Linked DNA regions of Diceros bicornis minor. The protein of the gene in region 1 interacts with the protein of each later gene in a pairwise test. Links are inferred from orthologs where the notes say so. Each region holds a gene or a part of one and is shown in the gene's direction. Other genes may lie near its edges. The genes, in order: PPFIA1, PTPRF, PTPRS and PTPRD.

What was found.
Region 2: the proteins of PPFIA1 (region 1) and PTPRF interact in a two-hybrid assay, tested with the Homo sapiens proteins (2 studies listed by BioGRID). The link is inferred for Diceros bicornis minor from reciprocal best matches to the Homo sapiens genes PPFIA1 and PTPRF.
Region 3: the proteins of PPFIA1 (region 1) and PTPRS interact in a two-hybrid assay, tested with the Homo sapiens proteins (2 studies listed by BioGRID). The link is inferred for Diceros bicornis minor from reciprocal best matches to the Homo sapiens genes PPFIA1 and PTPRS.
Region 4: the proteins of PPFIA1 (region 1) and PTPRD interact in a two-hybrid assay, tested with the Homo sapiens proteins (2 studies listed by BioGRID). The link is inferred for Diceros bicornis minor from reciprocal best matches to the Homo sapiens genes PPFIA1 and PTPRD.

The regions. Positions count from the first base shown.
Region 1 is NC_080770.1:3,999,141-4,006,783, reverse strand, and holds the start of PPFIA1 (liprin-alpha-1), read left to right. Parts: upstream 1-4,364; 5' UTR 4,365-4,449; intron 4,450-4,776; exon of another isoform or gene 4,777-5,186; intron 5,187-5,657; coding exon 5,658-5,921; intron 5,922-7,643. UniProt on the Homo sapiens protein: May regulate the disassembly of focal adhesions. May localize receptor-like tyrosine phosphatases type 2A at specific sites on the plasma membrane, possibly regulating their interaction with the extracellular environment and their association with substrates.
Region 2 is NC_080752.1:6,461,098-6,469,367, forward strand, and holds the start of PTPRF (receptor-type tyrosine-protein phosphatase F), read left to right. Parts: upstream 1-5,207; 5' UTR 5,208-5,285; intron 5,286-8,270. UniProt on the Homo sapiens protein: Possible cell adhesion receptor. It possesses an intrinsic protein tyrosine phosphatase activity (PTPase) and dephosphorylates EPHA2 regulating its activity.
Region 3 is NW_026691615.1:2,740,070-2,747,501, forward strand, and holds the start of PTPRS (receptor-type tyrosine-protein phosphatase S), read left to right. Parts: upstream 1-4,002; 5' UTR 4,003-4,102; intron 4,103-7,432. UniProt on the Homo sapiens protein: Cell surface receptor that binds to glycosaminoglycans, including chondroitin sulfate proteoglycans and heparan sulfate proteoglycan.
Region 4 is NC_080761.1:32,419,911-32,427,238, reverse strand, and holds the start of PTPRD (receptor-type tyrosine-protein phosphatase delta), read left to right. Parts: upstream 1-4,253; 5' UTR 4,254-4,498; intron 4,499-7,328.

The DNA.
Region 1 (7,643 bases):
TTTTTTTTTTTTTTTTTTTTTTTGGTGAGGAAGACCAGCCCTGAGCTAACATCCATGCTAATCCTCCTCTTTTTGCTGAGGAAGACCGGTTCTGAGCTAACATCTATTGCCAATCCTCCTCTTTTTTCTCCCCAAAGCCCCAGTAGATAGTTGTATGTTGTAGTTGCACATCTTTCTAGTTGCTGTATGTGGGACTCGGCCTCAGCATGGCCGGAGAAGCGGTGCGTCACAGAGCGCGCACACTTAACCGCTAAGCCACGGGGCCGGCCCCAAATGTGATTTTCTTATCATCACTTCACCCAGAGGTGTCCGTGCTCTCGGGAACTGAGATGCACCAGCCAAACTCCCGACAGGCTCATCGTTGGACCAAAACTTTAGATAATTTGTTGACCGTGAGAAATTGAACTGTCATGGAAACCGGAACACTCTGGCTGATGATCTCACCTGTTCAGCAGCCACTCAGACCTCAGTTTCCTCATCTGCAAAATGCGAAGGATACCGGAACAGCCACGTGGGGAAGTATTTTAAGAATTAAATGAGACAAATAAGTAAAATTTCTTTCCCTTTCTCCTCGTTTTCCCTCCTCCATCTTAGCAGGGACACAAAGGTAACTCAAGTACAGACTCTATGGCTAAAGTCACCAAGATAATGAAGCCAGGGCCCCATCTCTTCCGCAGGGGATCGGACTACTGGGGCAGCACTGGAGACCCACTGATAACATGCTTATTCTTAGTTGTCCCTTAAAGAGACCACTCCTCAGTCGCAATAGTGTGGCAACTAGATCTGGAATCAGTAGCCCCTGGTTCACTCAAGGCTCCAGTCCCAGCTCTGCCCCAAATGAGCTGGGCGCCAGGAGGCGAAGCATTTTCGCATCTCTGGGCTTCAGTTTCCTCCTCTTAAAGGGAGGGCCACATCTTCCACCACCCACCCCCAGCTCAGAACTTCCCCTGACTGTATTGTCACACCACCATTCATTAGGCGGCTTTACATATTCTAGATTTGGGACACACTCAGATCTCTAGGACAGGATGGGCTACACTCTGTTCTCGCAGGAACCCTCTTCCTGGGCTGCTTACATTTCTAGAAAGGAGAGGCGGCCCGGTCATGCTCAAGGTTGACAACTAACCACTTCACCCAGAGAGCCCAGGCTGGCGGCACATTTGGGAAAAACACACCCCTGGAGAGAGTAATGAACTCTCCACTCCGCCCCCTTCCGTTTTACCTTATTTTCTTTATCAAAACCTTAACAGAAGAATCGGAGTGAAAACATTTTCTATGTTCATGGTTTTCCTGACTGTGGCTTACAAGGATGCTAGACAATCTCTGAAATGTGTTTCAGATAAATACTTCTGGGAAAAATTTAGGTTGGATGGTATAGATAACTGCATCGAAAAGTCATTTTAGCTTCCTGAAAGCAATTCTCCATGGTTCGTTCTTGCCTAGGTTTTGTTAGAGTAACATTTGTGGGGTTTTTCTCCCCCTAATGATAAAAATAATGCACATTCAAGACAAAATATCCGCCAAGTACAAACTATCACAAAGAAGGAAACGAAAACTACCCACAGTCCCCCTCAAAGACAACCACTGCCAACATTCTGATGTATCGCTTTCCAGGAATATATATGTATATGTATATAGAAAGAAATGTAAAAACCTAATTGAATACAGTAACAATATTTTCACACAGACATACGTTTTTCTTTGACAAACCTGAGACTTAAAATTTAATTTCACTTTTCGAAAATATTTCACGTAAAATTCATTTTATTACAATTTTATCACTTTAATAACATTCTAGAAGTTTTCAGATACAAGATAATAAATTTTACCCAATAGATTCTTCATCTAAACACAGACTGTTTTTTTTTTTTTGAATTTGGGCTCACACTGTACATACTTGTTTATAACTTGATTTTTTTTTAAGTTTTTTTCCCATTTTTAAAAATTGGGGATACCTTACATGTTAGTGTACAGTTCTGTGATTTTGACAAACACATATGGTCTTGTAACTACCACTACAATCGGGATAGAGCATCTTGTGTGTCATTAGATAAAATATGACTGTGTCACCGAGCTTTCTGTCATTTGGAAGTGCAACAATGTAACCAATCTCTTTTTGTTGGCCATTTAGGTTGTTTACAGTTTTCCTCTTGCTGATTTTTGCAATCTGAGGGAACGAAATGAAGGAATGAAAATGAATGAAATCTGAGATTCTCATATTCCTGGAGTTACACCAAATGAGCTTCTCCCTTCTATGCTTGGAAAATCGCTCATCTTCGAGACCCAGCTCAGATGTCATCCTCTCTGTGAAGCCCCCAGGATGACAGCTGGAGAGTTGGTTCCTCCTTCCTCTGTGGTCCCACAGCACCAAGTCACACCTGTTTATAAGACAGACATTGTAACACTGTTTCTCTTCTTCCTTCCAGGCTGTGAACTGAGGGGAAGTGATGTCTTAGAAAGCTCTGTGTTCCCCAAACCTAGACCATGCCTGGCTCACAGTGCTCTAAAAATGTTCACGAAATGAATGAACCTTCTACCCTGTTGAACTAAATTTTGGTATTGTGCCGATTTCTTAGAAGACAGCGTGGTGTAAATATGGGCTGGATGAATTAAGCTGGTACATTTAAGGAGAGCTGGAAATTTTCTTCTGTTCCAGACCCTGGCTCAGGTGTGCAAATTTATATTTATTTGTAGTCAATCAACAAATACTTATTGAATGAACAAATACATGAATGAAAGGAAGGTGTGGTCCTGGACCCTGGGAAGGAAGAAAGCCAATCAGAGGTTGCACTTGTTCTTGGTGAGCTGACAATGGGGAATGAAGGAATTGCCTGGGAAGGATTCACCCACCCCTCCATGCAGGCTTTACTTAGACTTGGCGAGTTCACGGGCACCTGGCTGCCTCACCACCGACAGCCAGACGGTGGCCATGGCGCCTGACAACGATGCCCTCACGTTTTCGGTGTATGAGGAGTTTGTGCTCCAGAAGTCAAATCCTGAGCAGAGAGCATCTTCTTTAATTTATTAAAAATGGATTTTTTGTGTGTGTGTGTGAGGAAGATCAGCCCTGAGCTAACATCCATGCTAATCGTCCTCTTTTTGCTGAGGAAGACCGGCTCTGAGCTAACATCTATTGCCAGTCCTCCTCCTTTTATTTCCCCAAAGCCCCAGTAGATAGTTGTACGTCATAGTTGCACATCCTTCCAGTTGCTGTATGTGCGACGTGGCCCCAGCATGGCCCGAGAAGCGGTGCGCCAGTGCGCGCCCTGGATCCGAATCCGGGCCACCAGCAGCGGAGCGCACGCACACAACCGCCAAGCCACGGGTCGGCCCAAAAGTGGATTTCGTAATCTCTGTATCTACAAGATCTAGCACAGGAATTGGCAGACAGCAGGTAGCAGGTGCTTTAAAAAGTCTGAGTAAGGATAAACTATGAATAAGAAGGATAACAACGTTTGAGAAGGATAAAAATGACCACCATTCGCAGAGCGCCCCAACCAGGTTCTCAACGAGTCTCTCTTTATAAGTTCTATTCCTATAACAGCCCTGGGGTAGATCTGTCTCCTCTTCCCATCCTACAGACGGGGCACTTGATCCCACACGGGTTCCCCTGGGTTGCCCAGGCCCACGCTGCAGGGATAAATATCTGCTGGGAGTTGAACCAGGTGTGCTGGCCCCAAAGCCTGCATTCTCGACCCAGCGCCCAGGAGCTTCGACATCAAACGCCCATCTCTGCCTCCCCGAGTACAGCAGGTGAAGTTCGGTCAATGGGCCTTGCGTAGAAGCCGCGTCCTTCCGAGTCCTGTGAGGGTCGGTTCCGAGGAGAGGCGACGCCGCGGGCTCCCCCCGGCTGCGAGCAGGTGAGCTGCACCTGGGCGCGCTCTCCAGGAAGGCGTGTGGACGTGACATTTGGGAAGTGTCTGGATGCACGCTCGATAACGGCCTTCGGAGTCCCCGTGGCTGTAGGAAGAGACCTGGGGGCAGCCCCCGAGGTGGAAGATGCTGCGGGGCGTGAGGACCAGAGGCCGGAGCCGCGGCTCAGCCGAGGAGCCCCCATGTGGGCGGGGCCTTGGGGCGGGGCTCCGACCGCGCCCAGCCAATCGCAGCCCGCCCCACCTTAGGAGGCGGCGCTTGCGCACTCGGCCGCCGCGGCGCTCTCCCGGGGCGGGGGGCGGGGCGGGCCGGCGGCGCTCGGTGCTGACGCTGCGCCGACGCGCCCGACGTCGGGCACGTTGACGCCGGCGCCGCGCAGCCGGGCCCGCTCCTCCTGCGCTCCGCCAGTGTCCGGCCGCGGGCCGGCCTTAGTGACCGGGGGCCGCGGGCGCGGGCGCGGGGCGGGCGGCGGGCGCCGGCGCGGGCCGCCTTCGTCGGGCCCCGAGCTCGCCCGGAGCGCGCAGCCGCCCGCGAGCCGCGGCGGAGCCTCCTCGCCCGCTCCCGCCGGCGAGCAAGGTAAGGGAGCGGGAGACTGAGGCCGGCGCGGGCGGAGCGGGGCCCGGCCCGTCCCTCGGCGGCCGCGCGGCGATTCCTGTCAGCCCCGGGGGGCCGGGGCGCTCCGGGCGCGGGGGCGGGGGCGAGGCCCGCGGCGCCCCCGGCGGGACCCCCGGCGGACGCGCCCCCAGCCACGGGCTCTCGGGGCCTCGCGCCGCCCTCTGCCCTGACCCCAGCGCTAGGTGACCCCAGCTCTCGGTGACCCAGCCCTGGGCGCAGGGGGCGAGGACCTGTGGCCGCAAGAAGCCCCGGTGTCCGTGGCTCTGCAGCACCTGCTTCGGATGCGAGTGGGGTCGAGGTCGTTGTCACTGTCCGGTGTGCGGTCTGGGGCATCCTCTCTCGGGGGTCGCCGAGCCCCGAGCCCCGCCGGCAGCTTCTGGACCGGCCCCGCTTCCCCTCGCTCCGTCGTTATGTTTGAGTCACTTAATAGCCTCTCGTAATCTCACCTTTCACTTTTCCTACCTTCCCAGCCGTCCACGGCTGTTATTGACCTGCGGTATTTCCATTGTGGAATTTTTTTTTTTTTTTCTGGGGGCTGTTACCTTACGTAAGTCAGGTTGACTGGCCAACCCTTGCAGCCGTTGAGAAACACCTCTCCCAGCCCTTGACGAATCCAGTTCCTTTTAGCGCTCACCAAATCCAGCCCAAGAATTCCGGGAGCCGTCAGTCCTTCCCAGGAGCTGACTGCACACATTCCTGTAAGATGCCCGACAGATTCTGTACTTGTCAGTTTGACTGGCTGTGTGCTCTTTCTGTGCTTTTCCTGAAAAACGATTGGGTAGCGTCTGTTTTGACTTCCTCTCCCCCACCAGGAAATAGAAAAACAAGAATAGGTTACAGAAGCACACTTCTTTTCAACAACTAGAAAGTACACCCGTGCAAACAAAATGCCACAGGGTTTGTTCTTTAACTGAGGCATAGTCGTCTTTGGTCTTGACCCCATGACTGGATTGTTGTCTGTGTTGGTGTCTTGATCTCAAGTGTTCCGACTCAGGGTTTGCATGCGTCTCTGTTCCCAGCGCACTTATATACAGAGCTTAACAGTCAGATCTGAAAAGAGTGAGGCTGACAGCCGTTCATGGATTAGCTGCAGATAGCTATAAAGTTGCAGATTTGTGGGAGACTTTACTTTGCACTTAATGACTGTAGTTTGGGTCTTTTATTTCAAGATGATGTGCGAGGTGATGCCAACCATCAGTGAAGCAGAAGGCCCCCCAGGAGGAAGTGGGAGCCATGGGTCCAGCTCCCCTTCGCAGCCAGACGCAGACTCACATTTTGAACAGTTGATGGTGTCCATGCTAGAAGAGAGGGACCGTCTTCTTGACACACTGAGAGAGACTCAAGAGACGCTGGCATTAACCCAGGGGAAATTACACGAGGTTGGCCATGAAAGAGACTCCTTGCAGAGACAGCTCAATACTGCACTTCCACAGGTATGGATGCTTTTCACCTGGAACTTGACAGATGTTTTTCCACTAAATGTTGTTGTATGATGTCCTCTTCTATGGTATTACTATCTTAGATGAGTATTTTGCGTAACCATTTGTGAAATGGTGGTTCTGATATTTGTAAGCCACGTATAGATAAAGTTCCGGAGGATTAAACGTCTTAGGGAGAACAGACTCTGTGGTGCTCTAAAGTCATGTGAAAATACCTCATAACTCTTGTTCCTTCCTTCGGGGCAGCAGAAGGAACTGCCTAGATTCAAGAGAGGGCTCCAAAGTTTTTGAAATAGGGCCATGGGGCAACCAAGCTCTGTGGTGCCTTCCGATCTATTGGCTTAAGCCACTTCTTGTGAAATGTGTATTTCCCACGGGTTTATCCTGTATTTCCAATTACATAATGAAATTTAATGGACAAATAGGATTGATTTCACAGAGAAAATATTTTTGCAGTCTGCCTTTATTAGAACACCTGTGTTTTCTAAATGAGATTTGTTTCAGGGGCTGGAAGGCTGGAGATTGACTCCTTTGGAACTGTCTCCGTGGCAGGTGTGAGTTACGAAGCTTAAAGTCACACTGAGGTTGCTAGTCTGGGTATGTTGCATTTGGACCAGTGTGTCAAAGCCTTTTCTTCTGGAGCTGAGTGAGGGTTTAATGGTGGGTGAAGGGAGAAAGTGTCACCTAGAGAAGTGGAAGGTACCGGCACAGGGCATGTGGGAGATACGTGGGTTTTGGGGTGCCTCTGAGCTGTCTGGGGGCCTTTATGGTGCTTTCGGGTGGCCTGAATGAGCGTCTGCTTGTACTCTCCTGATGGGTCTGCGGTGGTGAATTAGGAAATGAATAATTACCAGCCTTAATGCGTTTCTTGGCTTTAGTCAGTTCTCCTGAAAGATTGATAAGCCAAACATTTGGATTTCCTTTTTGGCAACAATAATTTGATATTAGTGCTATAATGTTCCTTTTTTGTTGAGATAGAGAATCATTACGTTTTTTCTCGTTCAAATCTTATAAATTACCAAGTTTGTTTAGGTCAGATTTTATTACCACAAGCTTAAAAGGATTGGCCAAATTATGTTTTACCAGGATTTTAATGTATTCGTAAATCTTTTCAGTAGTTTTGTTTGTTTTTGTAACTGTGTTTGTTTTACTGTAATTTGAGGTACATACACTGAAGTGTATATCAATTCTTCCATATTTGATAAGGTAGTTTTTTGAGGGAATGAGCTCAAGGGACAGAGCAGGGAAGGGCCAGTTTGGTGTGTACGGTCTCAAGCAGTGGAGGCTGTCCCACCAGCGGGAGGAGACAGTTGCTCAGTGATTTGTTTCTAGCGACTGCTCAGGGTTGTAGCTGGAGATGCCTCGTTGAGTGGAGAATGTGATGATGTCGGCAGTTCACCTGAGCACCACGTCCAGCGTTTCAGCAACACAGGAACCAGTAAGTAAGCGCTTTGTGGGACCCTTCCCTTTCCTGGCATTTGTCTCAGGTTTGGTGGCTGATATTGTGACCAGATAGGCATATGGTGAACTGACTGCATTTGTTCTCCTGGCCCATTATGTAGACCAGTCATACTGTGCTTATACAAAACTTAGCTATAACACATCAGAAAATTTCACAGTCATGAGTGTACATTTCATTGAGTCGCTAAGTGAACACACTCGTAACCACTGCCTAGATTATGACATGAAATGTTACCAAGCTTCCCAGAAGCCCCC
Region 2 (8,270 bases), on another chromosome or scaffold:
GAATCTGCTGAGGGATGCTTTGGGAGGCCTCAGGGATCTGATGGGATCCAGAGGAGGGTTCTGACAGGAAATCTCAGGAAATTCTGTGCGTGGCTCCCTATTCACTCTTGCTTCAGGGAGCAAGAAAATCCCTGTTTTTCACTGATTATGTGAGTGAGCCCAGGGCTCCGAGAAGGAGCAGGCGTAACTCCCCAAGCACAGCCCTTCCACATCCGCAGCCCAGGGCACAGGCCAGACACTCACATCACACCCCATTCCCACTCAGCTCACCCCCCACAGTCCACATCCACTCACCTTCTTCCTGCCCTCACACTTGCACGCTTGGGCCTGCATGGCAGCGGAGCTCAGAAATCTGTGCTTGCATGCGCATGTGCCACTTCTGTGTGCTCGCGTGTCCTCTCACAGCACCCCTGTGCACAGCCCGGGGAGGGGTGTGTGCACACTCACAGTCTCATGCATTCTCGTGCACACACTTCCTTGTACCTTTTTGCTTGCTCAGTTTCCCCCACATCATCTGAAATGTGTCTGTGGTTGTATTTTCTTTTCCACTCCCTCTTCTCTCTTTCTTTCCTCTAACAAGGAAATTGTTTTAATATAATTCCTCCCTTCCTTCCTGTCTTCCTCCTGCAGCTCCCGGCCTCCCGGCTCGCCAGCCATGTGCACACTGAGGGTGGGGGTAGTGTCCGGGCTTCCGAGAGAGGAGGCTGGATTTGGGTGCTGGTGAAGAAGTTTGGGCTGGGTCTGGGGTACCTGCAGTAAGAGGAGACTGGCGAAAAGTCTTCTTGGGAATTGTATTGATATGCAACAAAATGCTGGCCCTGGCAGTTCGTGCTTCCTCCACTCTCTCCATTCAGCCCTAAGTGTGGGAGTCCAGTCTGGCAGGCCCTCAGTCAGGGGGAGACCTCCTCCATAGAGGCTGTGACACACACTACAGCGCCTCCACTTTCCAGCTTGAGACCTTGAGGAGATGCCTTCCTCCCGAGTCCCAGTTTTACCCCCTGTAAAATGGGATGGCTAATCCAGCCCTGGTCAGGTGCTGAGGCTGTTGTGAGAATCCAGAGGAACTGTGTGTGGTGCAGCAGCAGCAGCCACTTCCCGTGTGACTGACACTGCTGTTCTTGAGCCAAGCTTGCAGCCAGGGCCCTGCCCTTGAGAAGCTCATGGTCCCTAGGGGAACAGTTGCATCATGGGAACGCAGAGGAACTCAGTAACCTCTTATTGATTGGCGACTGTGTGCCAGACTCTGGACTAGGCACTCTCAGCCAGGCTGCCTTGCTTCCTGTGGGAATAACAGCTGTGTAGAAGAGGTGGCCCATCCCTTAGGAGCTGCTGAGGTTGAGTTCAGCATCAGCTTACCTAAAGCGGTGGCAATTCTGAGCTGAGGTTAGGTTGGGGGAGTTCAAAATGAGGCAGAGGGGAGTTCAGAGGTCAAGGTGAGATGTTTCCCAGAGAAGACCAAGAAGAGGCTATCTGAATTGGGTTTTGAGGGATGAGTAGGAGTTTTCCAGTTGAAGGAAGGGCACTCCAGGCAGGAAAAAAAAACAACATAAGACTCAGAGGTCTTGTCACTTGTAGGGGTATTCAGAGATGTAGCAGATCACAGAGGGCCTTAAATGCCCTGTTAAGTAGCTATGATTTTACTCTGAGAACACAGAAGGGAGATACCAAAGGATTAAAGCTTGGATAGGGAGTTTGGAATGTGCTATGATCGAATTTATGTTTCTGGAGGAGGATTCCGTGACTATGGGAAGTGGATGGAGACAGGACGCCCAGTGAGGAGAAGGGTGCAGGTAAGTCAGGTGAGAGATGATGGTAGCATGGATAGGGCGGTGGCATTGAGCCATTCAGAAGGCACATTATTAGGATAGGATGACTTATTGGATGTAGGGGTGAGGAAGAGGAAGGGGTCCAGGTTCCTGGGAGTGACTGGATGGGGCCTTCACTGAGCTGGGAACCTGCAGAGTGGAGGTGGCTTGGGGAGGGGCGGCAGATGGTGATCTCATGGTTGGACCTGTCGCCTGTGAGGTGCTTGGGGCATTTGAGGTCGAGGGTAGGGAGGGAATCCAGGAGGGGGTTGGGTGTGAGGGTCTGGAGTTTGGGAGAGCAGTCTGGGCCAGAGAAAGGAGGGCGCATCATATGAGAGAGTGTGGAGCTGTGTTCCTCAGGAGCAGGCAGCCTCAGTGGTTAAGAGTGCAGACTCTGGTTTCAGACTGCTGGAGTTGAGCTCCTCTTAATAGCAGTGTGAGCTTGAGCAAGTTGCTTAACATCTCTGAGTCAGTTTTCTCATTTGTCAAGTGGGTACAATAAAATTCCATGCCTCATAGGGTTCTTATGAGGGTCAAAGTTGATATGGAGAAAGTGCTTAGAGCAGGGCATGTCGTAAGCAGTGTTCTCCCATTGTTGCAGTTGTTATTGTAATCGTCATCAACGGGTGGTGCACGCCCACCCCCGTCAGAATCACGGGATGGCCACCTACTGCACTTCTGAGCTGAGGTTAGCCCTTTGGGGGAGCTGGGGAAAGGGAGTACACAGCCCTCCTCATCATTTACAGGATTGTGTGTGTTGCTCGGGTGTATCTGACCTTCAGCTGGGCTGGTGTGAGAAAACTAGACCCCATGTTGGGAGAGAGTAGAAGGGGATTCTGAGAAGGGGCAGCCTCAGTGGGTTCAGTGCCCCATCCCCACCCCCTGCCGGGGCCCTGGGCATCTAGTGAGGTTCTTTCCTCCCAAGTCCGCCTCTGAGCTCCGGAGTCACCTGGACCTCCAGCTCTGAGAACAGCTTCTCGACATGTTTTAGCTGCTGCTTCTGGGGACTGTTCCTGGCGCAACCATAGGGGCTGCCTGGGGGCTGCTCCAGAGGAATGTGGGTGGTTCTCTAGTGTTCAACTTGCTACAGCTTCCAGGCCTGGCAGATGGCAGAGAGCCCTTCGAGGGGCGAGCCCCGGGTTGGTGCCGAGGCCCTCTTACCTGATCTAGGTTATGGCTGCCGACCTTACCCCGTCTGAGGCCTCCCTGGGTGCCAACAGGTCATTCCTAGCTTGGGTCCAGTACCCATCAGGCCCTTTCCGAGTAGGTTTCTACTTGGTCTTCTGGATGTATCCGGCAGTCCAGAGTGGTTCTGGGTGCTGCTGCTGCTGAATCTGAGAGCTGATTCTCATTGCCTGGCTAGGCTGTTTGGGGACCAGTCTGCTCCAGGACTGATGTGGTTGCAGGTGCTGGACCAGCTCTTTCTGTGTGCTTTCGGATCTTTCCAAGTGCAAGGTGCGGTGCCTGCTTTATCTCTGACCCGCCTCCAGGCCACTTGGGCACACACCTCTTTCCATTGTGGCTCCTGCTCAGTGTAGGTCCAGGCACCAGGCCCAGTGCTGTGAGTGTGGCCTTGGGCGTGGCAGTAGTGCTGGCTAGTGTGGGGGACCCTCCCCTTTCTGCGCCTTGGACTCTGCTCCTCTGCCCCTGGGTCCCGAGCAAGTGGAGCCAACAGTCTCACATCTGAGGCCCCACAGGCGTCCCAAGACAAACGGGCCTTTGAGTTTGGGACACGGAAGCTGGTTTGTCTGGCCAGACCTGCCCGGCAGCCTGTGTGCTGGGAGCAGCGGCCACAGGGAACTTGATGGAGAAACTCAGTGGGCTGGGGGAGAGAAGCGTGCCACCATCCTAAGGCCCAGGACATTGGTTCTAGGTGGGGGGCAGGCGAGCGAGGGAGGGGGGAGAGGGTGTGAGCTCCAGGGTCAGCGTGGATGGTCCCGGGTTGGGGAGGCCCGTCTTGGTCAGTCAGGGTGGGCCTTCCGTCCCCTTCAGTGAGGACGTCCCGTGCATTGGCAGAGGCGGTCAGTCTCTGGTGAGGATGGTTCCGGGTGCGGGAGGCTGGCCTCGGGTCAGTGAGGGCGCTCCCTGGCCCGGGTTCCTGGGTGTCTGCTTTGGGGGGAGCCCGGGTGGCAGAGCAGTGTGGGGCGGGGATGGGGTGCGTGTGGGGGCGTGAGGCCGAGGAGAAGCCCACTGCGAGGCGCCTCCTGCGTCCAAGTTGCTGAGCTGCTGAGCTGCGGTGAGGTGGTGAGGAGACGGTGTGGGCGTGTCCCACCCTGCCCCCACCCAGGACGGTGCCTACGCTGGTGGGGCTCAGAAATGGTTCTAGAAGGAAGGGGCCGGGCTCTGTCGCTGTGTGTGTGCCAGCGGAGGAGACATCCAGGGGTACACCTTCATTTTAAAAATTACAGAGAAGCAGGAAGTCAAAAATAAATACTGCTTTTGAAGCTTCTTTGGAGGCTGCATGTATGCTGGTGAGGTTCTTCCAGGCTGGGCTGTTTTCCATGAACTCATTCACGCATTCATTCACTCATTCAGCATATCTTGACGGAGCACCTACTATGTGCCGGCTCGCTGCTGGGTCCTGGGGATGCAGAGCTGAGCCAGGGACACTGAGCTTATGGTCATGACTCAGCAACTGTATAAATAAATAAATCATGGCATTTGTGGTCACTGCTCCAAGGCAAAGTCCAGGCGTGTAGTCTGGGACATCATGGAAGGCTTCCCTGAGCAAGTGCCACTGGCTCTGAGATCTGAGGGCTATTGGCTAGAAGAACTTGGGTAGTGGGTTCCAGGCAGTGGCATACAGCTGGGCAGATTGGAAGAACTGTGGCACATTTGAGCATCAGAAGAGGAAGTTCCTGCAGTTAGCTGGCGGGAGGGAGCATGGGGGCTGCAGAGGTGGGCAGAGCCGTCTGCCCCACTCCAGGGGTATGAGGAGGAGTTTGGACACAAGTTTTACCGCTGAGGTCAGGAACTTGGTCTGTGTTGTTCCGGCTATATGCTGGGTGTCTGGAAGAAAGCCCGGCACATAGTAGGTACTCAGGAGTACCAGTGAGTGAGTGAGGGAAGAGATGGGCGGCTCTTCAAGAAGTGAAGTGGCTCTTACACCAGGCTCTGTCTGCTTTTCCATTCACCGTGTTTCTGTAGAAAAGACTGTTCCTGTCGACTGTAGGTTGTGATAGAAGGAGCAAGGTACCCACAGGATCTGGGGTACATCCCTCGTCTCTTTGAGGTCCACTTCTCCTCCTTTCTTTCTTTCTTTTTACTAAATGGAGATCATCCTGCGTGAACAGTTCTGTAACGTGCTTTTTTTGTCCTGCATAAACAGCATATTTTGAATGTCTTTCTGTGTCAGTACATACTCTGCTGTGACGAAATTCTTGGTGTTTTCCTCTCTCTCCAGGAAGGAGCAGAGGCCCTGGTGCCCAGCCCTCAGTGCTGGTTGTCCAAGAGTGACTGGTGTGAGCAAGCAAAGACCTGGTGAGTGTGCCCCAAAGTGTGCTAGGGGCAGGGGTGCAGAGGGGTCCCGTGGGCCAAGCTGAGCAGCTTGTATTTTGACCCCGGCTGGTGGAGAGCCATGGGAGGCTTGTCACTAGGGGCATGACGTGATCCTGTGTGCATGCAGCTGAGAGATGATGGAGGCCTAGACCAGGAAGGTGGTGATGGAGGTGGAGAGAAGGGATTCGAGTGCTATTTAGGGAGGTGGAGTAGACAGGACACGGTGAAGGATTGAATGTGGGGCGTGAGGGAGGGGAGGTGTCAAGGATGGTGCCTGGGTTTCTGGCCGGAATGGATGATGGCGGTGGGTGGGGAATGATATCTAGCTCGTCAGCTGCTGTAGGTGTGAAATAGGCTTCCGGGTGACATCCTGGGACTTACACCAGGATCTGTCTGCTTTTCCATTCACCGTGTTTCTGTAGAAAAGACTTCCCATCAACTGTAGGTTGTGGTAGAAGGAGCAGGGTACCCACAGGATCTAGGGCACATCCATCCTTGTCTCTTTGAGGTCCACTTCTCCTTTCTTTCTTTCTGCTAGAAGCACAAGCGAGTAGGTTGGAGTTGCAGGGAACGAGGTTGGAGAGTTAGGCTGGAATCAGAGCATGATGGGCCTTGGATGTCAGGCTGAAGACTCTAGACTTTTTCCTGAGGGTGATATGGAGGCATTGAAGGTGCTTAAACAGAGGAGCAACATCCATGTGTTCACATATCCATTTGCCCATCCATTCATCTATTCAGGAAACATTATCTTCATGTCCACTGTGGAATAGGTAGCAAACAAAGTGTGCTTGAGGGACGTGATCAAATTTGCCTTTTTGTAGCTAAACGGGGGCATTGGTTTGTGTGTAGAATGGATTGGAGGGAGGGACCAGAGGCAAGAAGCCCACTAAAGAGGTGGGTGTGATGAAGTCTTACTAACATGGTGGTGGTTGGGACGGAAGAGACAGGGCAGATTCAGACTTACTGACCAGTTGGGTGTGTGGGATGAGGAAAAGGGAGAATTTGAGGAGGACTGGTTGGCGTGGGTGACCAGGTCGATGGTGGTGCTGTCACTGAGATGGGGACCTGGAGGAGGGGCAGCACTGGGGTGGATGAGTTCTGGTTGGGCCATCCTCTGAAGGATCCCTGAGGGCAGAGCCCATGACCGTCTTGTTCATCGCCTTGCCTCCTGGCTCAGGGCCCAGGAGGGCTCACTGAACAGTTCTGCACGGACAGCTGAATGGAGAGGGCCGTGGAAGAGATGGGTCTGGCCTAGGCAGGTGAAGGAAATACGCATATATTGGGTATCTGCTAGTGGCCAGACCCCGTGCGTGGTGAGGTGGGCATTGGCGTTATTTAGAAGGTGCAGCAGGAAGGGCCGTGTCACAGGTTGGAAAGGTCAGATGGGGCGAGTGGGTGTGGGAATACCATGTGTCCCTTCACCTGTCCATCCTCAGAGGATGGGTCTGACCTACCTGGGAGCCCAGTCTCACCAGAAAAGGTGTCTGAAAGTGGAGCCCTCTGTCCTCTGGAGAGGCCACTTGCTGATGGTGTGTCTCACGGGGTGGGGTGAGCTGTGCCGTGAAGCCCAGCTTCTGGAGGCAAGGCGGACTTGGACGGGGAGGGGAAGATGCTCTGAGATCCCGAGGCCCAGGGACAGCCAGGCTGAGGCCTCCTTGGGGACAGGGCTCAGGGTGCTCATAGGGGACTGGGTGCTGGGGCAGGGGCCAGGGCAGGCCCTAGGTCACATCAGCAAAAGATCTTGCTGTCTGCCTCAGGGTTTCTCAACCTCAGTCCTGTTGACATTTTGTAGCAGATGATCCTTTTTTGTGGGGGGCTGGCCTGTTATTATAGCATGTCTGGCAGCGTCACTTGTTTCTTCCCAGTAGAGGCCACTAGCACCTGCCCCTGCCCCTGCCCTTGATAAATGTCTCCAGACATTTCCTAATGTCCCACGGGGGGAAGAATCACCCTGGATTGAGACCCACTGCTCTACACCACCTCTTGCTGCCTTCACTATGCTATGCAAATCTGGAAAACTGGGGAGGGTCACTCAGAGAAGGTTCATAGTGATGGCCCACTGTGCTGAGTTCTGAGGAGCAAGCAGGTGGCTGGGGGTGGGAGAAAGGCACTCTTCCCAACAGAGAAGAGCAAGTACAGAGGTCTGGGTCAGCCACGCTGGTGAGCATTAACCCGAGGGAGGAAGGAGGCTGGAGGGCTGGGGGCAGAGGGGTTCCAGCTGTGGGAAGGTGTCACCGCTGGTCCCCTTGGTCTTCTGCCCCTGGAGCTATGCCTCTGCTGGACCTTGTGCCACCCCCAGAGACTCTGGGACGCTCCTCCTAATCTCCCCCTCCACTCCCAGGGGAGACTGAGAAGCTGAGGGCTGTGAGAGGGCGGGGGCCCAGCAGCGGGAGGGCAGGCGGCTCCCAGACTCTGGCCCATGGGCTGGGAGAGGGAAGGCAGCGGCTGCCGGCCACCTCCCGGGGCTGGGGTCACGGCTGAGCCTCTGATTTATTCCTGTCATAATCTGGCGGTTGGTTTGGTGAGAGTTGGAAACATGTTGGTTTTCCCTTCCCAAGTGTAACAAGGCCTCTTTCCGCCTCCGCGGCTGCTGCTGCAGTGCCACGCGGTGAACTGTCCAGGACGTGACAAAAGGGCTCGGTTAGCCGCTCACCGGTTAGAAGAGGAATGGCTCCTGCTCTCCTTGCCCTCGGGCTCCTCTTGCCCAAGCGCTGGCCTCTCCTCTTGGCCAGTCGCTCCGTGGGGCCCTGGATACCCCTCTTTCTGCTGATGTCCATTCTGGGACCCCAGCCTCCTGGGAGCCAGGGTCCTGGCCTGGGGAGAAGAGGGAGAGGAGGCTGTAGGAACAGGTGGTATTTGGAGACTAATTAATATTTATGAATAATGACACGTGCCCAAGGGAAACAAATTAATCTGTGTTTGCATATTCATGAGGAGGACTCAGAACGATCCCAGCTGTTCTTCAGC
Region 3 (7,432 bases), on another chromosome or scaffold:
CCCATCTGGATTTTAGGATCAGCTTGTCAATTTCTGCAAAAAAGACAATTAGGATTTTGATAAGAATGGGGTTGAATCCATAGATCAATTTGGAGAAGATTACCATCTTAACAATATTAAATCTTCCAATCCATGAACATGGGATATCTTTCCATTTATTTAGGTCTTCTTTAATTTCTCTCAATGAGGTTTTGTTGTTTTTATGGTATAAGTCTTGCATTTCTTTCGGTAAATGTATTCCTAAGCATTTTATTCTTTTCGATCAATTGCAAATGGAATTGGTTTCTGAATTCCATTTTGTTTGTTTATTGCCACTGCTTCGGAAACACAATAGACTTGTGTATTGATCTTGTATGCTGCAGCCTTGCTGAACTTGTTTACTAATTTTAATAGTTTTTTAGAGGATTCCTTGGCATTTTCAATCTACGAGATGATGTCACGTGCAAACAGAGAGAGTTTTACTTCTTCCTTTCCAATCTGCATGCCTTTTATTTCATTTTCTTGCCTGATTACCTGGCGATCACCTCCAAAACAATTTCAAATAGGAACGATGACAGTCCTTTTCTTGATCTTAGGGGGACAAGGTCCAGTCTTTCACCATTAAACATGATGTTACCTGTAGATATTCTTTATCAGGTCAAGGATATGCCCTTTTATGTCTATTTGTTGAGTGTTTTTATCACGAAGGGCCGTTGAATCTTGTGAAATGCCCCAGCTGGGGTTTGAACTCATGTCTCTCCGACTCCAGAGCCCCAGCACTTACCTGATGCACTAAATCAGTGGACCCCCAAAGGAGCCCCACGTGGAACCCAGTAAAGAGCGGGTGTTCAGCAAATGGGTGTTCCCGTCTGCCCCTTTTCTCTTGGGCATTCGAAGTAAACTTGCAGACAGAGGGAGAGAGAGAGAGAGCATGCAATGCTTAATTTGAAGGAATGTGCAATGATGGTGGAATCTCTTGCACAGAGCAAAGTCGTAGGGGAGATGTCTTCCAAGGATTCAAGGCTGGGTTCTGTGCAGACAATCCTGCATTTGGCGTGAGGAGTCCTGTTTATATATTGTGACAGGCAGCTGATGGTTCCCCTGGAATTGTCTCAACGAAAACACAATGGAGCTAATTACCAGGTTCTGGGAGACGCTGGGGCGGAGGCTGGGCTGGGAGGGAGGGAGGAGGAGGCTGGGAGGGTGAGGGAGTCCCTCCACCCCCCCAGCAGAAGATGGAAACGTTCTTTGACTGAACTTTTCACCCAACAAACAATGAGTCACACCCACAGCTTGCCGCAAAAGAGACCCAGAGCCCACCACGCCCCACCTCCCACTTCTAGTGTTTTGCACAGTGTGGATCTTGGACGTTTAATCCATGCCCCCAGGGAGGACATTCTCTCCTTGGTTCTCTTCAAGTTTTGGCTTGCAGGAAGTCTCGGTTTGGTGTTACTGAATCCTTAACACCTTTCTGACACTTGCCAATCTTCCAGGGCTGGCCAGAGGCTGCAACAATATCAGACCAGAATGTTCTGTCCTCCTGGTATTGATTTTTATGGTCACCCGGCTAGCCATCCTGCTTTTCCCATTTACGGTGGCCACAAACTATCCCTTCTTGAGTCTATATTCAGTGCCAAGCGCTTGGCATGACATAACTCATTTTACCCTCCCAACGACCTCAGGAGATAGAGACCATTACTATCCGCCATTTACAGATGGGCAAATGGAAGCACAGATAAAATGGGGAGACAGACAGAAAACGAACTGGCCAAAATATAAAATCATTCCAACTTGTAATAAATAATATTGTACTGAGATGAAGATGAACTTCAGCAGGATGGTTAGAGAGAATCTCTCAGAGATCTGAAGGATGAGGGGAATACAGACATGGGAAGAGTAGGAGGAACAGCATCCTAGGCAAAAGGAACAGCCAGTGCAAAGGCCCTGAGGCAGACTGTGCCTGATGTTTGCAAGGAACAGCGAAGAGGCCGGTGTGAGTGGAGTGGAGTGAGCAAGGGGGACAGCTCGAAGAGGTGAGGGCAGGGAGGTGATGGAGGCTGGTCATGCAGGACCTTGAGGGCAGTAAGGAGGAGCTGGGTTTTTACCCAGAGTGAGAGATTGTCTATGTCCTCCGTTGGACTAGTAACTCCTGGAGGACAGGAATTTTTTAGGCTATTTTGTCTACTTCCGTGTCCCAGCCCTTAAAACAGCCTGGCACACAGATGGATGGCCTGAATGGATGGGGTCCCCGGGCACACGGCTGTACTGTGTTTCATATGTGTTTTCCTTTGCAGCTCGCAAAAACCCTCAGAGGTAGATGTGGTTGTCTCCTTTCTGCAGATGGGAACAGGGAGGATCAGAGTTACTTGTTCCAGGTCCCCCTAATAGGTGGCAGGGCTGGGGCCCCTCCAGAGCCAGCAGGCTCATTTCACTCTGCCTCCATCGAGGATGCAAGGCTTGAGCACCTACTGTGTAACGAGAAACCAGGCTGAGCATTTATGCACAGACCATCTCGTTTGACCTTTCAAGAAGGGGTTGTGTCCTCATTGCTCGGATAAGAAAGCCAAGACCAGATTGTCAACGGCTAGGCCGGGGTCACTCAGCCAGGAAGGAGGACAAAATAGACTCTGCAAACCTGGCCACTGCACTGGCCGCTGGGAAACTCCGAGCTTAATTTAGGCTCCTTGTTTAATTATTCATCCTCTCCTCTCTCTTTTCCTATTTATGACTTCCGCCTTCTCATTTTGTTCCCCGGTTAATGCCTTTTGTTTATATCTGCATCTTTGGCCTGGAATGAATGAATCAACGATTCCTCCTCACGATTTTGGAGGAAAAAACCCCAAATTCTAAACTTGAGTCCCTTTGTGGGCACAAGGCCCTCTCCAAATGCGTACCTGGAAGAAATAAAACGCTTTCAACACGTTCAGAACACAAAGACCCGATGGGCACTTTGGTTTGGCGTCTTTGAGCCCACCCACGTCCCATGGTCATCTTCCCCTTTTATTTTTGTCTTTTTTTTCTCATTATCCCATTTTCAAACACCAACTACAGGCCAGGCAGGTGCATTATCACAATTCATCCTTACACTCCCCTTGTGAGCAGGGCCTACCTCTCCCCATTTCACAGACGTGAAACTGAGACCCAGATAAGCAAACCCATTTGGCAGGTGGGAAAACCGAGGCTCAGGGCCCCCCCACAGCAAGTCAGTGTCTGATCTGGGATTCCCACGTGGTTTGTCCTGACTCCAGGGCAGTAGAGGATGGTAATTAGGTGGGGTGTTTATAAAGTGCTTACTCTGCAGGAAAGGCTCCCTCATCCATCCCTTCAATCGTTCAACCAACACACCGGGCCCCATGGAGTCACACCCTCGTGTGACCAGAATAAAAACAGGCTGATGGGATAGAGAATGGAGAGTGGGGTGGCTCAGGCGGCCGTGATCAAGGAGGGCTTCTCCCAGGAGCAGTGTTTGAGCAGAAACCGGAAAGATAAGGGAAAGATCTGGGGGGAAGACGATTCCAGGCGATGGAACAGCACTGAGTCGGGAGTGAGCAGGTTGGAGGAACTCTAAGGGGCGGGCTAGGCTGAAGCATAGAGACCCGGGGGCAGAGTGATGGGTGCGAACGCGGACAGATGGGGCTGGATTTTATTCCAAGGGCACCAGGGAGCCACGGCCGAGTTTAGAGCGGAGCATGGGAAGCACCACGGCCTTGGTGCCACGCGCCTCGGGTCTTGCGCGCGCAACCGCGGCCGCCAGGGTCCCCCGCCGCCCACGTGTCCCGCGAAGCCGCGCGCCCCACGTGCTCCCGCGGCCCTTTAAACGCCCCCGGGCCACGTGACCGCGGCGCGGCGCGCGATTGGCCGGGGGGCGTGGCGGCGGCGCGGCTGCGCAGTGACGCGCGCCGGCCGGCGCCGCCCCGGCCCCGCCCCCGGCCGGCGGCGCTGGCGGAGGGGTGACGTCACCGGCTGGGGGGGCGCGCGAGCCGCAGTGAGTGTCCCCGCCGCCCGCCCGGCAGCCCGGCCGGCGCGCGCACGCCGCGGGCGCTCGGGCTCCGCGCGGATCCCATGCCACGGCCGGGATGTGACGCGGGGCAGAGCCGGGGAGCCCAGCCCAGCCCGCCTGCAGGTACGGGGGGCAGCGAGCACCCGGATTCGCGGGAAGGAAAAGGCGATGCGGGCGAGCCGCCGGGGGGGCGCGGAGCGGCCGAGTGGGCAGCGCGCCGGCTTTGTGCGGGGAGGCTGCACGGCCATTGTGCGCCCAGGATGCTCCGCCGCAGCCGGCCGGCGCCCGGACAGTGCCCCCGGGGCTGCGCCCGGGCGCGCGGGGCCGCGGGGAGGGCTCGGCGGGCGGCGCGGGGGGCCGCAGCGGCCGGGGGGGCTGCACGCGCCCGGAGCGCGGCGCTGGAAGCTGCCCAGCGCCGCCGGCTGCACCACCCCGGGCTGCGGGCGGGGCGCAGGCGCGTGTGCCGGCCGGGGTCCCCTCTGCCTCCGAGACCCAGGGGGCGCTGTGCCGGGGGCGCCCCGGAGTGGAGACCAGCCCGGGACGGGCGGCTCGGTGCAGCGAGGGGGATCGGCCGGTGCGCCCAGGGCGGCTGTCCAGTCCCCCTCCCCTGGAGACCCCCGACGCGACGCCGTGTCCCCCCAGCGCCCTCCCGATCTCATCCATCCTTTGGGGGCGGGGGAGCGCCCCTCCGGCGCCCTGGCCTTGCCCCACCCTGCTGGGGCCCCGGCACCCCTTCCTAGCCCCCCAGGCGGGGCGAGGCGCAGCCCCCAGCCCCTGGGACTCCGGCGGCCGGGCGCGCGCGTCGGGCACCCGACCTCCCCTCGGCGCTGGGGACCCCCTGGGGATCCCGGCAGAGGGGAAGCCGCCCCCGGAGCCGCCAGCCCCGCGGGTTCCGCGCGCCCCGGGAGCCCCCTCGGGGGGCTGGGAGAGGGGGAGGGTCGGTGACGTCATCCCGGGGGCGGAGCCGTCGGAACCGGGTTGAAGGGGGCGCCTGGGGGGGGCGTGCCCTGAAGGGAGCCCCCCGAGTTAGAGTGCCCGTGCCCGGGGCACGAGGGTTTCGGCCGGGCTGCGGCCAAGTTCACTGCTCCTTGTGGAAATCTCGCCCAAATTTAGGATCACCCCCTTGGTGCCCCCCGCCGCAAATCTGGACACTTCCCCACCACGAAAACCCCCTAAATCGGAGAGCTGCCTTTCAGCCGCTTTCTCTCCAAAATTCTCAATACGGGGAACCCCCTGCAAACTGGAATCTTTTTGTTCAGCCACACCCCCCCAAATCTGGAACCTCCTCCGTAGTGACCCTTCCCCCCCATTTCAGATTCTCCTCTAGGAACCCCGTAAATATGCAGATTTTGAGAACGTCCCTTCCCCTGCAACCCTTCCTCAAATTTAGCCACCCCCTAGAGATCTCCTCCCCCCATTCACAAGCCTCCCAGCGCCTCCATGTGGGGGGCACTCTCGTCCCCCTCTTGGGCTCAGCTGGGATTCCCCTGTCCCCCCATCTCAATCTCGGGGAGTCCCCATTCTGAGCACGGGGCCCTTCTGCCTCCGGACAGACCACTGCAAAACCAGCCTGGCCAACCCGGCTGGTGAAGGGGGGTGTCTGAGGTCCAGACTGGGCATTGGGACTCTGAGAAGCAGAGATAAAGCTGGAGGGTCCCCGAGGGTCTCCAGGATAGGGACCCACCCGCTCTGGGCCCCCAACAGCCTCCACCTGGACTCTGGCTGCTGGGGTTCTGGCCTTCTCTCATTGTCACCCATCGCTGCCGTCTCTGGGGTGCAGGGGGCGAGGACCGCTTTTGTTCGGGGCGCTCTGCCCTCCCCTCGGAGCTGTCTTCTCCCTGCGAGGAGACAGCCAGCCCGCGTCTCTACTCCTGATACCAGCTGCTGCCGAGGGAGCTTTTATTAATGGCCGAGGGACTCGGTGGATTCTGCCATTTGCATAGCTCCCCTCCCCCTCCCAGGGTCCCCTTCCTTTGTGCCCTCTCCCCCTGCCAATCCCGCCCGCCTTCTGTCCCTCAGCTCTTTTCTTCCTCTGCCAGCTGATACTTTGGCTGCAGAAGGCAGGCAGCTGGGGCTGGGGGCGGCTGCTTCCCGCCCCCACATCCCAGACCCCACCAACTCCGGTCTGGGTATCTCCAGCTGGACCCCCGTGTCCCCGCACCATGCCCTCCGCTGGGCATCTCTTGCCGCCTGCTGTCTGCCCGTTTCTCCGATCTTCCTCTCCAGACAGCTCCTTCCTGCCCTGTCCCCGGGGCCCGGGGGGGCACCTTCACCATGACGGTGCACTTCTGCCTGGGGCCCTGGCCCCCCCAGCCCCCTGGGGGCTGCCACCCGCTGTCGTGGATCGCCCAGAGAGTTGGTATAATTGGGCTCAGGGAAACAAAACGTCGCGGGAGACCTGGCCTGCCTGGTGAGCTCATGTGCTTTTCTATTCCTGCCACCCCGGCCGATGACATCGACCCCCCAGGGGGTGACAGGGGCGGTGCTGGCATGTCAGAGTGGCCTTCCTGAGAGGCGATGGCCTGGTCCACTCCCCACCCCCTCCGGGAGGTGGGGGAGGGGTCATTCTGGTGTGGCGGGGTGTGGCACTGGAGGGCACTGCTAGGGTGGCGGGCTGGGCTCTCGGGGATCCCTCCTCCCCCAGGGTCCCCTGCAGCCCCTGAGCTGGGCGTGTGGTGGGTGCAGAGAGAGGGGGGCACTGAGAGCTGGCCCCTGCCTGCTGCCCGCACAGAGATCATACTTGTGTTTCTATCTCCTTCGAGCATCTTCCTTTTTACCCGCTTCCCCGGGGATTCCGAGCATCTTCTCGTGTCCGTGGGCCCCCCCCCCGGAGACACGAGGCGTTTTTCTCCCAGCACTGGCTCTGGGCCGAGGTGTCAGGAGTGGGTGGAGGGGGAGAAGCTTCCCGGCTGTCCTTCGGTGGTGGCGTCTGGGTGGACAATTCTGGAGCCATCACCATCCACCCATTTTCTTCTTCATCGGGTGGCGCAGAGCATGGGGCTCTGCCCGGCCTTCCCCAGACCTGGGGCCAGTCCAAGAGACACATCCACCTCCGCTCTGGCCGTGGCTTTCTGGGGGGGTGCCTCAGTTTCCCCTCCCGCCTCCAGATTCGCACTGAACTGTATTTCACAGGTGTGGGAACACGGCTGTCGCCTCCACCTGCCGCTTCTAGGAGCCGGCGCTGGGAAACCTGTGGCTCACCTGATTATTCCAGCGGCCGCGTGGCCCGAGTGGTGGTCAGCGGAGGTGGCCAGGGAGAGCGGGCAGGGACGATGTGACTCCCAGGCGCCCCGCGGCCCCTGGTTCACCTGCTTCCTGTGACTTTAGTTCAGCCGCCGTGCGTGGGGGGAGTGGAAGGGGGACGCATCCAGAGAGTTCGGGATGGGGAGGAAAACCCTAAAAATAAAGGCGGATATATATAAACCCAGCGGGTTTGGGGGATAATTGACAAAG
Region 4 (7,328 bases), on another chromosome or scaffold:
TAGGGACTATGTTTATATATATTTGATTTATCTTTCTCACGTGCCACTTCTGTGTTGGGGACAAGAAGTAAGCTATGGAGAAACGCTGTATGAATTAAATTTGAAAAACTCTCTGAAATAAACATTTTAACTCTTGTAGAGATTAATATTTAAGTTATTTGAGGATTAAAACCATTCCTTATTATTCCATTTATGCGTGTAGCAGCAAATTAATGAAGTATTTTAGGCACAGCTAGCACCTATAGGAAGAGGTCTCAGATATTGATTTCAGTGCTTTATGACACTATTCACTATCTTCAGAGTATGCCACTTGAACCTAGGTTGTGATTTCTCCATTCTAACTGGATTTAATACAAACCACTATAGCCCTCACAAAGAAAATACGATCAGCAACAATTATTCAATTCCCTAAATAATAATTTATAATCAGAATAGAAGTAAAAACACAAGATTTGAAGTCAAACAGATGTAAGTTCGAAATCCTAGCTTGGCCAATTGCTAGCTAGGTCAGCTTGGTCAGATTACTTACCCTCTCTGTTCCCGTTTCCTCACTTAAACAACAGGGCTAATAATACTTAACTAGCAGGGCAGTTGTTAAGATTCGAGGTGAGGCAGCATCTTTGAAACTTTTTCTTTTAGTCACTAGCCACATGATGGAAACATAAGTTTTACAAAACTACTTAGTACCTATAATGCACTCTTCTTTCCTTTACTACATGCATACTACTTTCATTTCTTTTGCTTAAAGATTTGTTCGTGACCCACAAAAGGTCATGATGTGCCTTTTGAAACACAGTGAGATAGCCTGATGTTTAGTACGTAATACAAGTGTAACAAGTGATTACTATTATTGTTATGATTATTTTTAGTCTTCTTTTTAGGATGCTTCATGATAGATGAGAGTAAAATCTTTCGAGTACTTCTAGGAACTAACTCCCTTGGATGGGATCCAAAATAGACTCATACTCATCAGATGCTGAATTATGCACTAGAGAGGGTTGTGCTATAGCAAAGCTCCTGTGTGCTATTCATTACAGATGTCAGAGCTGGAGAGGAAGTAAGAAAAAGTCTAGTTCCATTGCTTAATTTTCCTTCATGGAAGTAGAGTTTTACAATATTCTATATTTATTGCTCATCGATAAGTTGGAAAAACAGCTTCTTTGATCCAGAACTGGGAGGTAATTAGGAATAGCTGGGGGGAGGAGGAGACTAGATCATATCTGGATTTTTGTTCTGCTTCTGCCACCAAATAATTGGGTCACCTTAAACTCTCAGGGTCTCAGTTTCCTTACCTATAAAATTAGGTGATTTCAACTCCTAATTGTTGATAGCCAGCTAGATCTGGGATAGCCTCCCTCTGATGTTCTTTGACTTCAAATCTCCAAATGGCAAACTATCCCAGAGGTTGTATTAGAGTGCCACGGGGCGCTGGTTTGTCATAAATCTGCTCTGAAAGCATTAATATGTGTATATTGGGCTGCAGAACACTACTCCCACCACTACTCAGATGTGCAGAGAAAGTCTGTCTCCTTTGTTTGCTTTATCTCCTCTTCCTCCACAGCATCACCCTGAATAATGCCATCTCTTTTGTACAATAATAGCTCAGACTCTCTAGTCACCTCCTCGACTGCTACTTCTTTCTCCAAGATGTTTGGTTGTGGTGGGACAGGAACGTCTAGGGCCTCATGATGTCATGTTGGGTCCTTGGGCTTCTGTCATTTACTTATACTGTCCTCCGTCTCCTCTGATTTCCACTGCTTGTTGCTCACCTTGGGAATGATCACTGCTAAATTCTCTAGCTAACTTGCTGCCAGTGGGGCAGGTTGATATTTCCTCAACGATGCTCCCAGATAGCAGTCACACTTCCCTACTGGGATCTTCTTAAATAAGGTCAGATCTGGTCAGATCTTCTTAAATGAGGGATGTGTGTCTCTCCACCAAAGACAACAGCAGAGGAATATTAGGGTTTTAAAAACTTTCTGTCTGTTCCTCTAACATCCAACTTTGCAAGAGGAAAATGAGACTCAGTTGATGGGGGAGAAGGTGGCAATGAGAAAGCCAATTCAGAGTTTAGACCTTGAGTGAGAATCACCTATGGAGGCTCAGATTTTTGGATCCATCCTTAGGGCACAGGGAGGAGGAATCCACCATACCTGCTCAGCCTTTCAGTTCCTTGTGTCATCAGAAAGACTGGAGGGTAAACCTGGCTCTGGGGGCTCGCACAGGAATAGATTTCTTCTTGATTTTCACTGTAAGCCTAACCATAAAAAAAGAACAAGGAAGAGTCATGCCAAGATGATCCTCCCCCCCCCCTCAAATTGCTGGAAAACTAAACTTCATTTAGCAAGACTCCTTTCAAAAATACATGACTTCTTTTTGGAGCACACAGGGGGCAGAGGATTACTGACCAATCCTTCAGTGCCTTTCAGGAGCACAGCATGCAGATGGTGGGAACAAACGGGCAGCTTGAAACAACAGTCAGGATGCGGGATCATTAGGCTGAATCTAAGGGGGTCTGCTTACCTTTGCTCTTTCAAAGACAGCCTTGGGCCTGCAAGAATAAGTATTGTGTGTATGTGCTGGCCTGAACACAGAATGAGCAAGAGAGGTGGCTGGAGGCCCTGCCTTTATTTAACCTTTCTGACCAAGTTTCAAAAAAAAATTTTGATAGGCCAATTGCCAATGGTGGCTTCCAGCCGCTGACTTCTTCCACTCCTAGGAGGAGTGAAGAAGGTTGAAATTCGCCTCTTAGCTAACAATCCACACAGTGTCTGCTGTGGATGAAGGGTTCTGTGGATGAAGCTTGTGTAGCTCAACAACTGAGCGCATGTCTAGGGAGAGGGTTTTATGGTGTCCTTCAGAGAAGTGGGGGAACACTGCATTTCCAACATCATAAAAGCAAGTGGCATGGAAGCAAAACAAGTTATTACACTGATTAATTCGATATTTCCCTTTCTTCTTCTCTGACTCCAAAGTGGATCCTACAAGCATCCCAGAATGAGGCTGCCAAGGTGAACTGGGGCGGACACAAACTGTCTCATCAAGGCGCGCTCTTTATGTTATCATAACTGCTTGGAATGGGGCGCGAGCAGCATTTTTTTCTCCCGTGCGCGGGGATGCAGAGCAGGAAGCGCCCGGGTGTGCATCTCTTAGCAGATGAGTGAATTTGTTAGAAGGGGTCTTTTCTGGCCTAGTGGATGAATGCTGGAGAGTGACGTCACCCCGCCCCCTCCTCTGTGAGAGAGAGAGAGAGTGTGTGTGTGTGTGTGTGTGTGTGTGTGTGTGTGTGTGTGTGTGTGTGTGGTGCGCCTCCTTCGCCCAGCTCTCCTGCCTGCCCCTCCTTCGTCCAGCTCTCCGGCCCTTTCAGCGGGTCAGTGGTCCAGATTCAGCGATTCGCCAGCGGGCGCCGCGGGCCTGGCTCTCCCCGCGCCCCGGCGCGCCCACACTCCCACTCCGGCGCTGGCAACGCGCGCACACAATCCTCTAGCGCTGGGGCACCGCGATTCCGTGGGATCCCCAGCACGTTACGAGGATTTTAGAAATCACCCAGAAAGGAAACAAAGAGAGAAGCTTTTCCAATCACTTTCCCGAGCTTTTTCATTTAATTTCCCCACCAAACCACCTCGCCTCCAACCGTAACCACCAGGTTCACGCCAGGCCCAAGGACTGGGCTGGACTGGCCATCCCACGTCCTGGCCCTCGACTCCTCTCGGGCCGGTCTCCAACCGTCGCCTCGCCCCCTCTCCTCCGCCTCCCCTCTTCCCCCGCCGGCCTCAGTTTCTGGTTACCTCTCGCGTGCGCTTCACTTTTGGGGGGAAGAAGAGACGAAGGGGAGGGAGGCGCTGAGGGGGGCAGCCGAGTTGCTATTTGTGGCCAAAGAATCCTCTTTAAAAGCAGCAGCAGCAGGAAGGAGGAAAGAGGCGAGGCGGAGGCAGGAGAGGAGACGCGGCCCAGGACCCCCCAGCCGCGAGCGGCGGAGCATCGAGGAGCGGGAGGAGGCAGAGCAGCAGGAGGAGGAGGGAGAGGAGACACACAGCGGCGGCGGCAGCCGGGGAAGCGAGCGCTGGGCGAGCAGGAGGAACGGGAGGAGGAGAAACCGCCGCGGACGCCGCGGGCTCAGAAGGGCCAGGAGGACGGCCCGGGAAGACGAGGAGGAGGAGGCGGAGGAGGAGGAGGAGAAGGGGGTAGGGGTGGAGGGAGGGCGGGGGGACGCGCTCCTTTGGATGCTGGATTTCGGGTTTTTGGACTCACTCGCTGACTCTCCTCCACTTCCTCGCTGTGGACTGGGCTGGCCGCACGAGGGCCGGGCGGCGGCAGCGACCAAGGGGACTTCGGCGGCGGCGGCCGCAGCTCCGCGGGATTAAATTGGCCGCCCGGAGGCGGCGGCTGGGGCAGGCGCGGGCTGCGCGGCCGTGGCGGGGCGCGAAGGCGCTGGAGGAAAGTGCTGGTGGCGGCGCGGGAGGCGGTGGCGGCGGCTGCCCGGAGCCAACATGACCAGGTAAGTCCCCGAGCTGACCCGGTCCGCCCCCCTGTGTCCTCCCCTCTCCGCGCCTGGGGCTTTCCCTGAGCCCGGCTCCGGCAGCCCGCGCCTCTCGGGCCGGAGCAACGCGCTCCCGCGTCCGCGAGCCCAGCGCCCCGGCACCGGAGCGCACACAGTTGTCCTCTCTGAAGCTCCTTGGGCAGAGGTCCTCCACTGCGCGGGTCGCTTCTCACTTAAAGCTTCGGACCAGGGAGAGTGGCAATTCTGGAGAAAGAGGGTGTTTGGATATGTGTATTTGTGCGACCCTCGCTCTCTCCTCCTGGGGTGGGCGTATATTGGGGGAAATGTGGAGCGGTGGGGCAATCCGACCCTACCCAGGGATTCTGCCACTGCATATATTTTTTTAAGAGGCAGTGATCACTGTTTAAGGAGGGCTGGTTGTGGTGAGGGGGCGATTTCTTTTTCTTTCTTTCCTCTGAACTAGTGGGGAGAAGGAGAAACAGCAGGGATCAAGTCTACGCGGCTGCCATAGAGGAGGGGGATTGTTTTGGAGACCTTTCCATGGCAGAATCAGAGCTCGTAGTTCTGCTACGGGAATCTGCTGTTCCTACACACTCATCCCGTAGGGAAGGGAACGCAGAATTTACAATGAAAAGCCCAAGTTGTAGGAAACAATTTAAAAGGAAAGCCACTAGTAAACCAAAGGTTCTTTGCTTTTCTATCGATTTATTGTAGTTTTTATATAGGCATGTAGAAAACTTGCCTTGTTTATCTGTGAGGTTGATTTGCATTTAGAAGCATTAACAAATGAAGTCAGTTTTCTTATGCTTTTAAAAAATTCTTGAACCCTAATTGTGAGCTTGGCTTTCATTAATTGGGTGTTCCAGGGTTCTGAATAGTAGTTCCATTCTCCAAAACCCGGAATATCACAATCCACTTGCATTGTTTCCAGCTCGCCTCCCAGTACACGACTTGCCAAATGTCTCCTCTGTTTTCTAAAATTCTTAGAGTGATCCCCCAGACCAATCTAGAGGAAGCACCCCGGGAAGATTCCTGAGGGATCGCTCTCCCTGTATTTTCTCTTAAAGTTGTTTTTTTTTCTTCTTTCCTTTTACGTGCCCACAGACACAGTGCCAGGACTTAGAGCGTAGGGAACACATTTTGAGCCTCTCAGAGACTGGTAACTGCTTGTGACTTCAGATAGATTTGCTGTTGGACTTCCAGAGCTACAAATGGGAACCTTTCTCTTTGGTGTGCTCTTTCCAGCCATCCTGTAGCACACATGGGGAGTTAGTCCAACTGTAGACAGTTCTAACCATTTTGGCTATTCCATCTGTGTTTCAAAGTGTACACACCCACTACTCAACTTGAGTAAACGCGGGGTGATGTACCAAAACTTGAAATATTCTGATTTAAAGGAATGTTTAGATGATACCAACTTAAAAATTATGTAATATCGGTAATATGATGATATCCAGGACAATGCCTAGTAGATATTACTCTTATTTTGAAAACATATTCAGTTATATGCCACAGATGGATATTATTTTATTGAAATAGTAAAGAGAGAATAAATTTTCAGGGCTTGATGTCCGAATTCTTGAAACAGATGTCCTAAATGGACAATAGAAAGAAAATTTCCCTACCTCCCACCTCCCATAATTATGTACTGTACTTTGCTTTTCAATGGAGCTAGCAGTTCTGTGACAGATTTCTTAAATTCACCCTCATGCTATCAGCTATTATTGTACTTTCAAAGTGTGAAATTGACAACCTGGTCAGTTTCATGAATTCAGCTGTCAGATTGTGTCCAGTTAAAAATTGCTAAAAGCTGTAAATGTGCCTGCCTGGAATTTTCTTTTGTAAAGGAAAGACAGCAAAGAGTTGAGGATTAAGGGGTGTTGTTAATTGTAGATCTTTTAAAATAGATTCACCCCAATGTGAGTTTTATCACTGGCTGTTGTTAGGAAATACATTTAGATTTCTACTATTGTAAAAGTGGCATTCTTTTTGTATCTATAGTTCATTTTAAATAGCGAGCACTTTGCATAGAAATAATCTGTTCATAAAGCCTTCAGTAATAATAGTGTAATAGGAATGAGATTCAAAGAGGAAAAGTGTCTCTCGAAGACGTTTTAATATATATGAGTAATATATTACTTTTGTAATGACATGTAAAGAGGTGGATGAATTAAATATTTTATTGTGGAGGTTATATAACACAAATTCTTTGCGGACCAGTGCAGTTGTAGTTACTAAAGTAATGAAATGCAGTGATCTATTTTAATATATATGTATTTCAGTCGATAACCATGAAACTACTTTAAGTATTAAATACAGTGATTTGATTTGCCTTTTAAGGTTGGCATTCATTTAAAGCTAGAATATCTCAAAGTGAGAACTAAGAATCGGAATCCCCTCATCTGCTGCTATTTGCTAAGCCACTAGGGGCCTGTATAACTGTTCTTATATCCAGGAGACATCCTTGTATGGCATATGCAAACCCTTCCTAGAGAGACATTTAAAAAAAATTCAAGTAGGCAGTCCCCTAAGTTTTTATTTTGTCCTTTTTAACCCATTAACTCATGCTCTGATGTTAGTATAGACATTGATTGAAGCGTCTTACAAGAACATTATTTAGAGCTGCTCTGAAACTATGGTGGTGTAAGGATGATTTTTCATATGGAGTGTGAAACATAGAAGAGGTGTTTGTGCAAATTCATATGTGATCCCAGTTTCTCAGTGTATGTCAATGATAAACAGATAGGAACATTAATAACTTTTCTTTATTGGACTGATAAGGATGTTATTTGTGTAATGTAGGGTTAAAAGATAAATGAAGCAGAAT